2 linked regions of the Bombyx mori genome follow. The protein of the gene in region 1 purifies or fractionates together with the protein of each later gene. This does not show direct contact. Links are inferred from orthologs where the notes say so. Each region holds a gene or a part of one and is shown in the gene's direction. Other genes may lie near its edges.

Evidence for each region.
Region 2: the proteins of breast cancer anti-estrogen resistance protein 1 (region 1) and Ywhae purify together in Homo sapiens (affinity purification with mass spectrometry; 3 studies listed by BioGRID and IntAct, with this or other methods). This does not show direct contact. The link is inferred for Bombyx mori from reciprocal best matches to the Homo sapiens genes BCAR1 and YWHAE.

Annotation. Positions count from the first base shown.
Region 1 is NC_085117.1:10,878,893-10,884,701, reverse strand, and holds the start of breast cancer anti-estrogen resistance protein 1, read left to right. Parts: upstream 1-2,300; 5' UTR 2,301-2,415; coding exon 2,416-2,481; intron 2,482-5,121; coding exon 5,122-5,262; intron 5,263-5,488; coding exon 5,489-5,629; intron 5,630-5,809. UniProt on the Homo sapiens protein: Docking protein which plays a central coordinating role for tyrosine kinase-based signaling related to cell adhesion. Implicated in induction of cell migration and cell branching. Involved in the BCAR3-mediated inhibition of TGFB signaling.
Region 2 is NC_085122.1:14,130,317-14,136,443, forward strand, and holds the start of Ywhae (14-3-3 epsilon protein), read left to right. Parts: upstream 1-2,318; 5' UTR 2,319-2,429; coding exon 2,430-2,493; intron 2,494-5,786; coding exon 5,787-5,950; intron 5,951-6,127. UniProt on the Homo sapiens protein: Adapter protein implicated in the regulation of a large spectrum of both general and specialized signaling pathways. Binds to a large number of partners, usually by recognition of a phosphoserine or phosphothreonine motif.

The DNA of each region.
Region 1 (5,809 bases):
AGTCGTTTATCTTTTATTTTATATTGCTTAGATGGGTGGACGTGCTCACAGCCTGGTGTTAAGTGGTTACTGGAGCCCTTAGGCATCTATGACGTAAGTACACCTTGAGATACAAGTTCTAAGGTCTCAAGTATAGTTACAGCAGCTTTATACCGTAACGCATTACTGCTTCACGGCAGAAATAAGCAGGGTGGTGGTACCTACCCGCGCGGACTCACAAGAGGTCCTACCATCACTTAAGTTTACAAGTATGTGTAGTTCAGTTGGTAAATCAGAATAGTTATTTAAAATAGCTGTTATTTATAACAAATACTACGTAGTCATCAGAAGAATAGTAAGTACAACGTAATATATGATTAAAAATGTCTGTGTTATTCTAAAATATTGGAATCTAATCACATTTCATAGTCATGGTAGGCCGTATTGTGAGCCTAAGCCTTAACATTTTGCGTGTTTCCGCGGAGCAGTCATGTGTTCCCGTTTAAAGGGTGGACGAGTCTTGATACTTTATTACTATTACTATATTCATACTTCGACTTGTCTAAATATGAGTAGCGAGCGCCACCCTGATCAGCGTCCTTGCTGAACTCTTCGCTTGCGATATAGGGCTCGGCGGGTAAATTAAATAGACACAGCCCACTGAGTTTCTCGCTGGATCTTCTCAGTGGGTCGCGTTTCCGATCCGGTGGTAGATTCTACGAAGCATTGCTCTTGCTAGGGCCAGTATTAGCAAAACTTCCGGTGTGAGCCCCAAGAGCTCACCTACACGGTAGCGTAAAGCTGAAATAGCCTCTCAAGACTATCAGCATAGGGAGGGGAAAAAAGCCAGCAACATTCACGTTGTAAGCCGACGGACCCCGTTAATCAAAACAACAAGCGTAATAATACAAGTTGAGGTACTTATGCACTATCAAGTGGGAGGAGGTAACTATGTTATCTATCATAAATTCAGAAGTTTACTTTAAAATTAATTCGTATAATAATTCCATGTTTAATGAAACATTTATATAAACAGCTGTAGCTAAAATTGGCAAGAAAGCTGATAAAAACATAATATAGTAATAATAATAATAGCTGTTTTTTTTTAATTTAGATCTCTTAGTGAATTGGTTTTATCGATCATTAACAGATTAAGTGTAAGTAAGATTAAATGTGTCGTTAAGACGATTAACGTGGGAATCAAATGAGCTATGTTTACAGGAGACCAATGTTGATGACTGCATACAACAAAACTTAAAAAATCTCGGTATTGCTACTTGTGGATATTTTTTCACAATATTATGTGGATACTGAAAGCACCACAAAAGATAAGAAATGGATGAGCGTTAGGCGGACACACACATTTAATAAAACTGGGTCTGAATGGCTGACCACAAGGCGCCAATAAAACGAAACAAATGATACAATGGTCCCCGATATAGTGACGTGAATTAACCTTAGAAAATGACCTCACACGTGGATAGATCGAGTGCTATACAATAATAATTTAACAACTACATATTATGTCAGTTTCTGTGAATGGTGAATCTATGAATCACACCAACTCATGCGGTTCCAATCTGCGTACAATTAATTTTCATTGTTTTTAATTATCTTTAATTTAAAATAAAGTACAAGTCATATAATATTATAAAATGATATTCTTCTTTCGTATGAGCATTTATTTTTATTGCAATTTTTTGTTATCATTGACAAAATGTTGTGAGTGTTTTGGTTAGAATATTAGGTAGAAAGGTAAACTAAAATGGTCTTAGCCCTCGATGTTAAGTTGCTACCTGAACATTGAACCTCAAGCATCACCCTCTAACCTTGGGATCGGAGCTTGAAGTCTCAATCATATGTAATGTCTTACATTTCAAGCCAGGACTGATTGCTTCGGGGCAGAAATAGGCGGATGGTAGTACAAACACGTGCTGGTTCACAATTACCATAAAATCAGTGGTCACGTTAATAAACTGTATAGGTTTGAACATAATGAAAACTTAATTTGTACACTAAAACTTTTGGCCCATGACAATAATGACGGTAAATCTTATTATTTATCTATATATATCTTGCACAATAATAATTGGCCAAAGGTCACAAACTGGCTGGTAATAATAGGCTCCTGTCTCAGTGTCTCAATATCTCGAAACGGACATAAATTTAATAAGTGCGTCGATCTTAATGACGTCACTGTGACTCAACTGGTTCCAATAACGGTTATACACTCGTTGTTTATATAAATAAATATATTTATTATATTTAGTGTTAATATTGTTTCAATCAGTTCACTTTGTAACTTTGTGGCGATCACTTGTGTCTCATTACTAGTGCTTGATTGATATACAGACTTTGTAAAGTATTTTGTGAAATTCAATAATAAGTTCTAAAAACAAATATAGTTACAGAAGGTTGGAAAAACCAGTGTTCACAATGTGTAACTGTAAATTTAACCTAAAAATTAGCGTTAAGACATGCTCCATAAAATGGGTAAACATTGTAAGTTGATTTGATTATTAGATTATTTTATGCGTTTTTTCTTTCTTATCTTGTCTGCTGGAATGTTACATGCTGTGCTTTAAGTCGTCGCGGCCTAAAGGATAAGACGTCCGGTGCATTCGTGTTGAGCGATGCATCGGTGCTCGAATCTCAGGCGGGTACCAATTTTGCTAACGAAATACGTACTACATACGTACGTTCCGGTCACCGTCCTCATCGAACCCGTCGCTTACGACGAAGGGTTCGACGAGCGAACTAACCCATAGACACAGCCCACTGAGTTTCTCGCCGGATCTTCTCAGTGGGTCGCGTTTCCGATCCGGTGGTAGATTCTGCGAAGCACTGCTCTTGCTAGGGTCAGTGTTAGCAACTCTCCGGTTGAGCCCCGCGAGCTCACCTACAAACGTTAGGGCGAAGCTGAAATAGCCTTTCAAGGCTATCAGCAAAGGTAGGAAAAAAAAAAGAATAGAAATACGTACGTAAAAAAAAATGCTGGCGGCAATAAATCTGTTCCATTTTGTTCGATATCGAGCCTCTTTTAGTTGGAATTTGGAATATCATAACTTCACAAATTACTCTAAAATCTAGTCGCACTACCATCTAGGTGATCGTTCCAATATTCAATAAAAAATTAGAAAGATTATTCGTCCAACAATAGTGCTATAGGAAATTAATTGTTCGCTTATTTTGAAGCTTTCTGAAAAAAAAAGCTCGTAAGATTTCACTGAAGGCACGCTGCACAGAACCGAGATTTGATTTTTAATTCATTCAGTCTCAGACCGGAAAGTAATATTGCGATTTTTTTTAAAAATAAATATATATAATCTAAATCAACTTTTAAAATACGTTACTTTTATAGCATTCGGACTTCGGGACATCTGAATTCTTGGTCAAATTTGTCCCAGTCTAGGCATAACTGTTCTCTTTATTTTTGCGTAATTATCTCAACTTTTTATCAACTCCTCAATTTATCTTGAATTGATACAAAGTGAAGTATATTAATGTATCCCTAGATTATGGTTTTGGTATTAAAAATAATGATTCCTTTATTCACGAGCGAGTAACGCATTCTAAAATGATCCTACGTGTGTTAACATGATATTCAATTATTTTTTTTTGGAAATTGATAAAATCGACATGTACCTAATAAATTTAATATTTCGAAAACGTCAAGAAGAGCGCAACTAGTATGTATTTATATTTACGTTTTTTTTTTTGGACATAGCCTGTCAGAAACATCTATACTAATATTATAAAGACGAAAGATTTGCTTGTTTGTTTGTATTGAATAGGCTTCGAAACTATTGAACCGATTTGAAAAATTCTTTCACTGTTTGGAAGCTATACTATTCCCGAGGGATCTTTACTAAAACTCCAATAATGTAACCCAAGGTGTAAAAAAATTACCTAAAATATTTTTTAGTGCGCTGCGATAAGCAATTCACGATACAATAAAAGAATGTACTACGACTTTGTAGAACACATTATTATTTACAAAAAATGCCGCGACAGCAAATGTCTAACTAATATAGTTATGCCGCAATAAGTGTTATTTTATTTTTTAAAATAAAACAACGTCAAATATCCTTGAAATTTTTGTTAAAGACCCGAGCGGAGCCGGAGCGGGCCGCTAGTCGTAAATAAATGTAGTACATTTAACAATACTGTCTCAGCAAATAGACTGCACTCACTCCGCGTAACCGTATATCTATTTTCAATATCGAATAATACTCGGGAATTATAAATAAGTAGATATAAATTTCTGCCAACATTAATTATGATAAGGGAAAATAGTGTTATTTTAAAATATGTAATGATTTCATACGCCTTTGTTACCTACATTTTCAAATAACAGTCAGAGTGTGTATGTATTTTAGAAAAAAGCTCTTTGATTACCATTTTTGGCGTTGCCAATAAATAATAATGATTTTATCAACACCGGTTTTCACTAAAACTACTCGACAACCACAAAAATTTACTTGTTATAAGTACTTATCAAATTTTAAAAATGTGCTCCTAAATACGGATGATAATTAAATTATTTAACTACTGTTCCATTGTTGTCAATAATATTGATCGATTAGAATCGACTGTCAAACGACGGGATACAGAAACTGTCATTTTATGCGCCGGTGGAACGTAGGACGCGGTTTTGTCGCAGCTGCATGTCGGCAACATATGCGTTCGACATTGTCTAATACTAATGGGGATGAAATACGACTGACACATTGAAGTTTATCACGCTTTTGTCCTGTAACGAAATTGATTTGATGAACGTGAGCAAAACTGATTATTAGGAGACTATATTGTAAAGCCTAAGCCTAAAGTAGAACACAAAAGACAAGAGTTTTACTCTCGAAAGGATTTTATTTAAATCCAAAATATATTGGCTTTTCTGCTTGAGTGTTAAGTTTCGAAGTGTCGCCTCCGAATCAGTTTTCGATTCGTTTCTTGATTGATCATTATGATATTGGCATGTGGTATTTTCCGAAGATTATCTTCTTGAGTTATTAAGTCCTTATCGCGGATTAACAAATCACAAATTTGTTTAAAGTAGCTATAGCTATAGCATTAATATCTAATTAAGGAACTCTAAGACCCTTCCTTTGTTTCTGAAAGAATTTAATTGTTATATTGCAGTGTATGGCGCGTGCTTTGTATGATAACATTGCGGAGTCTCCGGACGAGCTAGCTTTTCGAAGAGGCGACCTGCTCACCGTGCTGGAGCAGAACACCGGTGGCAGCGAGGGCTGGTGGCTGTGCTCGCTTAGAGGAAGACAGGTATTTTTATTTCAAATATTCGAAAATTATTCAATATAGATTTTCATTGGTCATTATTGCATAGATTTCATGACCGTCCGCTATTGTTTGTCGAGAAACCGTACTATCGTTATGATTCATAACCTAAAGCACGAAACAATTAAATCTCACGTAGGCACGAATGAGTAATTATTGTTTTGTTGATAGCTGTAGTGTAAGGTCGTAATTTGTGACGTGTATTTTTCAGGGAATATGTCCGGGCAATCGGCTGCGGATAGTGGCGGGCGTGTTCGACTCCAGTGGAGCGACGCAGAGGCGGCGAACGAGGCCGCCTGCGCCCGTAGCCCACCAGCCACTTCCCACACAACAATCTCCCGCGTTTACCAAAGTAAGTTTTTAGGTATTTAATAATTTGGTAAATAAAGTATTGTTTACAAGTCCAATCTTATAATATATTAAACAAATGTATTTCTTTCATTGATCCATAGAGCGCTTACACTCGCACCTTCGTTACTTAAAGTAGACCCATGAACCCGATCTGAGTGCTGTCACTTCATCCGCGCTAATT
Region 2 (6,127 bases), on another chromosome or scaffold:
ACGAGAAATAGTTCTATATTACGACAACACGATACACTACAGATTATTAACAAATTAACGAGACACAAAACAAACGACTAACAAATATATGAAAATACAATAATGAGAGAAACGCGCGATCAGTACGAGGCTTTGTGGCGGACTGCCGGCGCAGCAGCCCGGCGTCACCTGCGATAACGCATTTCGTGTGACATGCGCAATCAGGCGCATAACGCATTTCGTGTGACATGCTAGTACGATTTTGGTCCCCATAATTTTCATACCCCGGGCCTATATATGTAAATCGATTCTAAAGGAGTAAACTCCAAAAATTTTTTTATTTCAAGAGTTATGTATAGCTAGTTCAGTCAATTTTTTTTCGGTAGGCAGCGGTTTGGCGTTGCTGAAGTCCCTGGGCGACAGTAACCACTCATCATAAGGTGGGCCATATGCTCGTCTGCATAATTTTTTTTTTGGAGTTTACTCCTTTAGAATCGATTTACATATATAGGCCCGGGGTATGAAAATTATGGGGACCAAAATCGTACTAGCATGTCACACGAAATGCGTTATGCGCCTGATTGGCTCCTGATTGCGTGATGCGTGCGCGCGCCAATCAGGAGCCAACGCGCGGCCGCGTTATCGCAGGTGACGCCGGGCTGCTGCGCCGGCAGTCCGCCACAAAGCCTCGTATAATAGCCGGCAAACTTCTTGAGCATTTGTTGACGTAGTGGGGGTAAGTTTGCGCATGGTACACTCACGTGCAAAAACATTATTTACTCTGCGTCATAATGCAATTAAATTATTAAAATCAACATATGTATTTATTTATATATTTATTAGAACATCAACAAAAAATATAGGTTAATAATTGTAATAATTTAATCTTGGGGTAAAATAGATATTCCTTCTACTAAGTCAAAACTAGAGCTGTTGCCAGGTCTTCGTTCAGTTGAAGCGAAGCTGGTATTTGTAATTTTTTTTTCGTTATCATAATCTTGACCATTATCATCATCACTGTTTTCATCACTGGAGTCGCCATCATCGTGATAAGTGGACATAGGGCTCATCGGTGTAGTTTACGACTCGGTCGGTTCGATCTTCTTTTTTGTCTATAATTTATTATTTTTTGAAGATATTCGATTCGTAGTAATCGAATGTTACTTTTTTCAATTACCAGCTTCCGATTATTTTCTGTTTTTTTTTTCCATCTGAAGCCTAGCTCTTTCATAATTCGTCGTAAACTTCATTCCGAGCTATTAAAATGTATATCTTCTTTAAAATTTTCGAAGCCTTTCTACGGTACGGAGTTTCGCTGCTTGTTATGTAGTTATTATGATTACATCTTTTTATTACAGATTGAACGAAACTATCCATTCCGGTAACTTTCTTCTTCCCTGATCTTTTCTTACCCGGAGTCCCAAGCACGACGAGCAAGCCAGAGCCTTTAGCTTTCTTTGTTAATAATGCACCTAACAGTACTCACTGATGTTTTTGTTGCTTCCGAAGTCTGTTTTACTTTTTCATAATATCATTCTTCCCCTGTTTTATAATGAAGCAATATACGTCGTACACAATTTTTCTGCCCTTTCTTTTGAATACTACACAAGTTTGTCGCGGCATAGTGTATTTTTTATAAAAAATCAACAAATACTCAACAAATAGCAATGGCAACAAAGTCAACAAGCAATTATAACAAAATTTATTAACGATTAATAACGATAGACTTTTCACTGTACGCAAGCGTACTTTTGGGAGCAAGCGGAACGAAGGCGCGGTGCGGGACGCAAGGTTCGACTGATCTACCAATAACGCGCTCGATACGATTTCCCCTGCCGTCGCGCCTCACCCTCACCACCAAAGTGATCTAAAATTCGGTTCTGCGCAGTCAAGGTCATTTGCTCACGATGTTTGCCGGTTACTATACTGATCGCGCGTTTCTCTCATTATTGTATTTTCATATATTTGTTAGTCGTTTGTTTTGTGTCTCGTTAATTTGTTAATAATCTGTAGTGTATCGTGTTGTCGTAATATAGAACTATTTCTCGTATTGTTTCGTTTAATTTTTTATATCCAGTAAACTCCAGTCGTGCGTCGGAGCGGACACACACACTTTTTTTTTTTAAATTACAGTTTTTATTTGTTTTTTTGCCTGAACTTTCATGAATCTAAGCTTATTAGAATAACTTTATTTTATATTGGTCAAAGTAGAATAGTAGTAATAAAAATGTAATTTAACCTTCCTTAATTTTTTCATTTCAGTTAAATCAGTAGTTAAATTACTTTTTATCTGGCAGCAAATGTAGAACGGAAGCTGCCTAGTCTATGACGTCATGGGCGGAGTTTAGTTGAAGATCGAATTTGGATTCGGTTGGCGGGCGCGGCCATCTTGGTGAATAAGTGACCTGGCGATTCGGATTTAGTTAGTGTAAAATCATTTGTCATCCACAATGTCGGAAAGGGAAGATAATGTGTATAAAGCAAAGTTAGCTGAGCAGGCTGAGCGCTATGACGGTAAGCATATATTTTTACTGTAATGCTATCATTCAGTCGAAGATTCTATCTTATTTTCGCCGACAATTGAAAAACGATTTTAAGATTCTTTAGAGAATATCCTATGTCCAAGACGTAATTATCATTTCATTTATTTCAATTTTCTATTGCAAATAGCCTTGTAGGTCGCAGTTTGTATATTTGATAATAGAAAAACGAGTCAATGGTATTCATTAGGCTTGGCCTGCGATCGATGCGTCATCCACCGGTGGGATGTCTTAGGTTTTTTACATGAACAAAAACGCTGAATCCATTCTCAACCTGAAATAGAACCTTCATGGTTCAGTTACGATAGTTTTTTCAGTTGTAGAATCGCAACTTTATGACTGAAAGTTTCCAATAAAAGTGATTTTCAAGAATTTGTAGTACCGTTGACCGGGTGTCAGAGGATCTGGATCGATGCGCCACTGGTTTTCTTGTATGTCTGCTATTGTGATCCAGACACATTAGAAACATCTTAGTTATGACGTAGTTTTATGGCGCCTTAGATTTCACCTATTGTTCACAATTTGATGCCACGGGAACTGTCTCCTTAGGGTTTTACAACGATTTCGTCTAACTATATCGCTTTCTGTTAAAGTATTATCATAGTTTTCTGTCATCTTCCTCATGAAAAACTCGGGAGTAATAATTGAAAGTCTGTGAAGGTCCACGGTTCAATGACCTTAGTTACCATTATCATTGAAGAATATCATTGTCAATCTTATCAATGCACAACATGGATGAAATATGAATGACTTGTTACACAACTGTTACACTTCATTTTATTGAGTGCATAAAGATTTTTCATCTTCATCTATCTTTCATCTGCAAAAAACATGGGTGGTATTAGATATGACATTCAATTCTAATTTTTAAAAAAGAAGCCCTAGGCCATCCTTATCCATTTCATCATGGGTTCTAAGTATTGAATATTGCTCTACATACATAGTGTGACATAGAGAAAATTGTAACAGGTTGGTCTGCAATCAGTACATTATTGATTATTTTTATGAACCACTAAAAGTATTGTCAGTGGGACTAAAGTTGACCACACCCTTTTATGGCTTGACCTTCAGCCAATATTTTGCAAGTGTCTTTATTTCATATGAAATTTATTGTAATTTAATTTTAAATATAATTGTGCTAATTTGCAAGTGAATGTCAAACTTAAATGGATTTATAAATTAGAAAGTCTCATTATGTTAGTCACACATATTAAAAGTATGACTTCATTGGAACTTGCCGCATGATGCTATGACTAATATTAATAAAATAAACTTTCAAAAAATTTGAAATATCTATGTTGAAAATAATTTTTGTAGTGTACACTGAATGAGGTTGTAAATTAGAGGATGTTGTATCAGTTCGTACTCATCACATGTGACTGCTGACTGTAATCATTGGCTAATATTTAATAGTGCTACATTGGAAGCAGTGTCTAAAAATTGTAGATTGTAGTTAAAACAAGCCTCACCACGATTGGTCCTGCACTATCTGCATCATTTTGGTGAGGCTTGGGGGAGGTCTATGTCCAGCAGTTGGTGTCTGTGGGCTGAAAGATAGAAGATAGACGTGGTTAAACCAATAGTATAATTCTCATATTTATTTTTAATTCAACTTTTATTTATTTATTACTTAGATGGGTGTACAAGCTCACAGCCCACCTGGTGTTAAGTGTTTACTAAAGCCCATAGACATCTACAACGTAAATACCGCCACTCACCTTGAAATATGAGTTCTAAGGTATAGTAGGTAGTAAGGTATAGTTACAACGGCTGCCCCACCCTTCAAACCGAAACGCATGACTGCTTCACGGCATAAATATAGGCAGGGTGGTGGTACCTACCCGTGTAAACTCACAAGAAGTCCTACCACCAGTAAAACATTACAACATTATTTTTAATTAGGAGTTTTTAAAATAATAAATTCTAATAAACTACATGGCTATATACGTTGGTAGAAAGTAGTGCAAGAAAACAATGTGTGTAGTTGTGTTATAAATCAAGTTTTTTCTTGAACACGACAGGATAGGATGGCCTTCTATTTTGAGGTGATTTTTCAGTAGTTTAGTATGTAACTTTCATGTCCTACTGCACTTTTTAGATTTTTTGGGTCGTACATAATTATTGACTCATGCAACAAACACTTGAAGAACACATCACACACATGCTCTGGTTAATAATTGTGTTAACCAACAAACATGCAGAGGAACCAACTATTTCTGGGAGATTAAAATTGCATTGCAACAAATGCAATGCAGATGAACTTTTTTAACATATAACTTTCTGCATGGGTAACAATAAGATAAATAAATTGGAATTTTAAGAAAGTGTTATCCCCTTACACTGTCTTTTCAAATTACCATTACATCACATTCATTAACTTGACTGACAAATTCAATTCAAACCTCTTTAGAAATATTATATTTGTATTAAACAGTGCTTACTGAGCAAATGAGTTGATTTGTCTAATTTATTTCCCATCTTTATGATTGTTCTTAAGTATCCTATATAATTGTAAACAAAACAATGATATGTTTATTTTCCTTAATAATCTAAACACCTTAAAATGTAGAATAGACTCAGTTCCAACTGCATTAGAAGAATTAATGTAATTAAAATGAATATTATACATTCAGAGACATTTAGCATACTTTGATGATGCTTTAGGGAGGAAAAAATCTTATGTTGATTGGTCTGATGGCTCAGACCAAGATGCCTATAGGCTATGTAACGAACACAAAAGAGCTGCCACCTGATGATAAAGGGTTACTGTTGCCAAGGTCCCCATCGGAAGGGTCATAGCTCTTAGCGGCAAAGCCCTTTTGTCCCTTATCAATCCAACTTGTATACCCGCCACAGTATGGACATTGTTTTGAGATGATGAGTTGAAGTTTGAGGAAAATACTAGATTATCAAAAGTCGAAATGTTGAGCAAATATCTGCCCAATCTCCTAAATAACAATAATAAAAAGAAAAATAAATATCTATAAATATGGCGAGCTCACAGCCCACCTGGTGCTAAGTGGTTACTGAAGTCCATAGACATCTACGACGTAAATGCGCCACCCACCTTGAGATGTAAGTTCTAAGGTCTCAAGTATAGTTACAACGGCTGCCCCACCCTTCAAACCGAAATGCATTACTGCTTCACGGCAGAAATAGACAGGGTGATGGTACCTACCCGTGCGGACTCACAAGAGGTCCTATCATCAGTAAAGTACCAGATATGGTAGAAATGTACTAAAACGAATAATATATCCTATTTTTCAGAAATGGTGGAGGCGATGAAGAATGTAGCATCACGCAACGTGTCCGACAATGAGCTGACAGTGGAGGAGAGGAACCTGCTGTCGGTCGCCTACAAGAACGTGATCGGCGCCCGCCGCGCCTCCTGGCGGATCATCTCCTCCATCGAACAGAAGGAAGAAACAAAAGTGAGTCTCGTGTAACACTTACTTGTCTGCTGATGTAACTTGTCATAATCAGAGCTTAGCCCGGATAAATAAATTGGATGATTGTGTTTTAGTATCACCCAAGCATTGAGAGTTTAGAAGAAAAACCTCATATTTTGGTATCCAGACTTGTTTTGTTAATCTAATGCATCTAGAGGG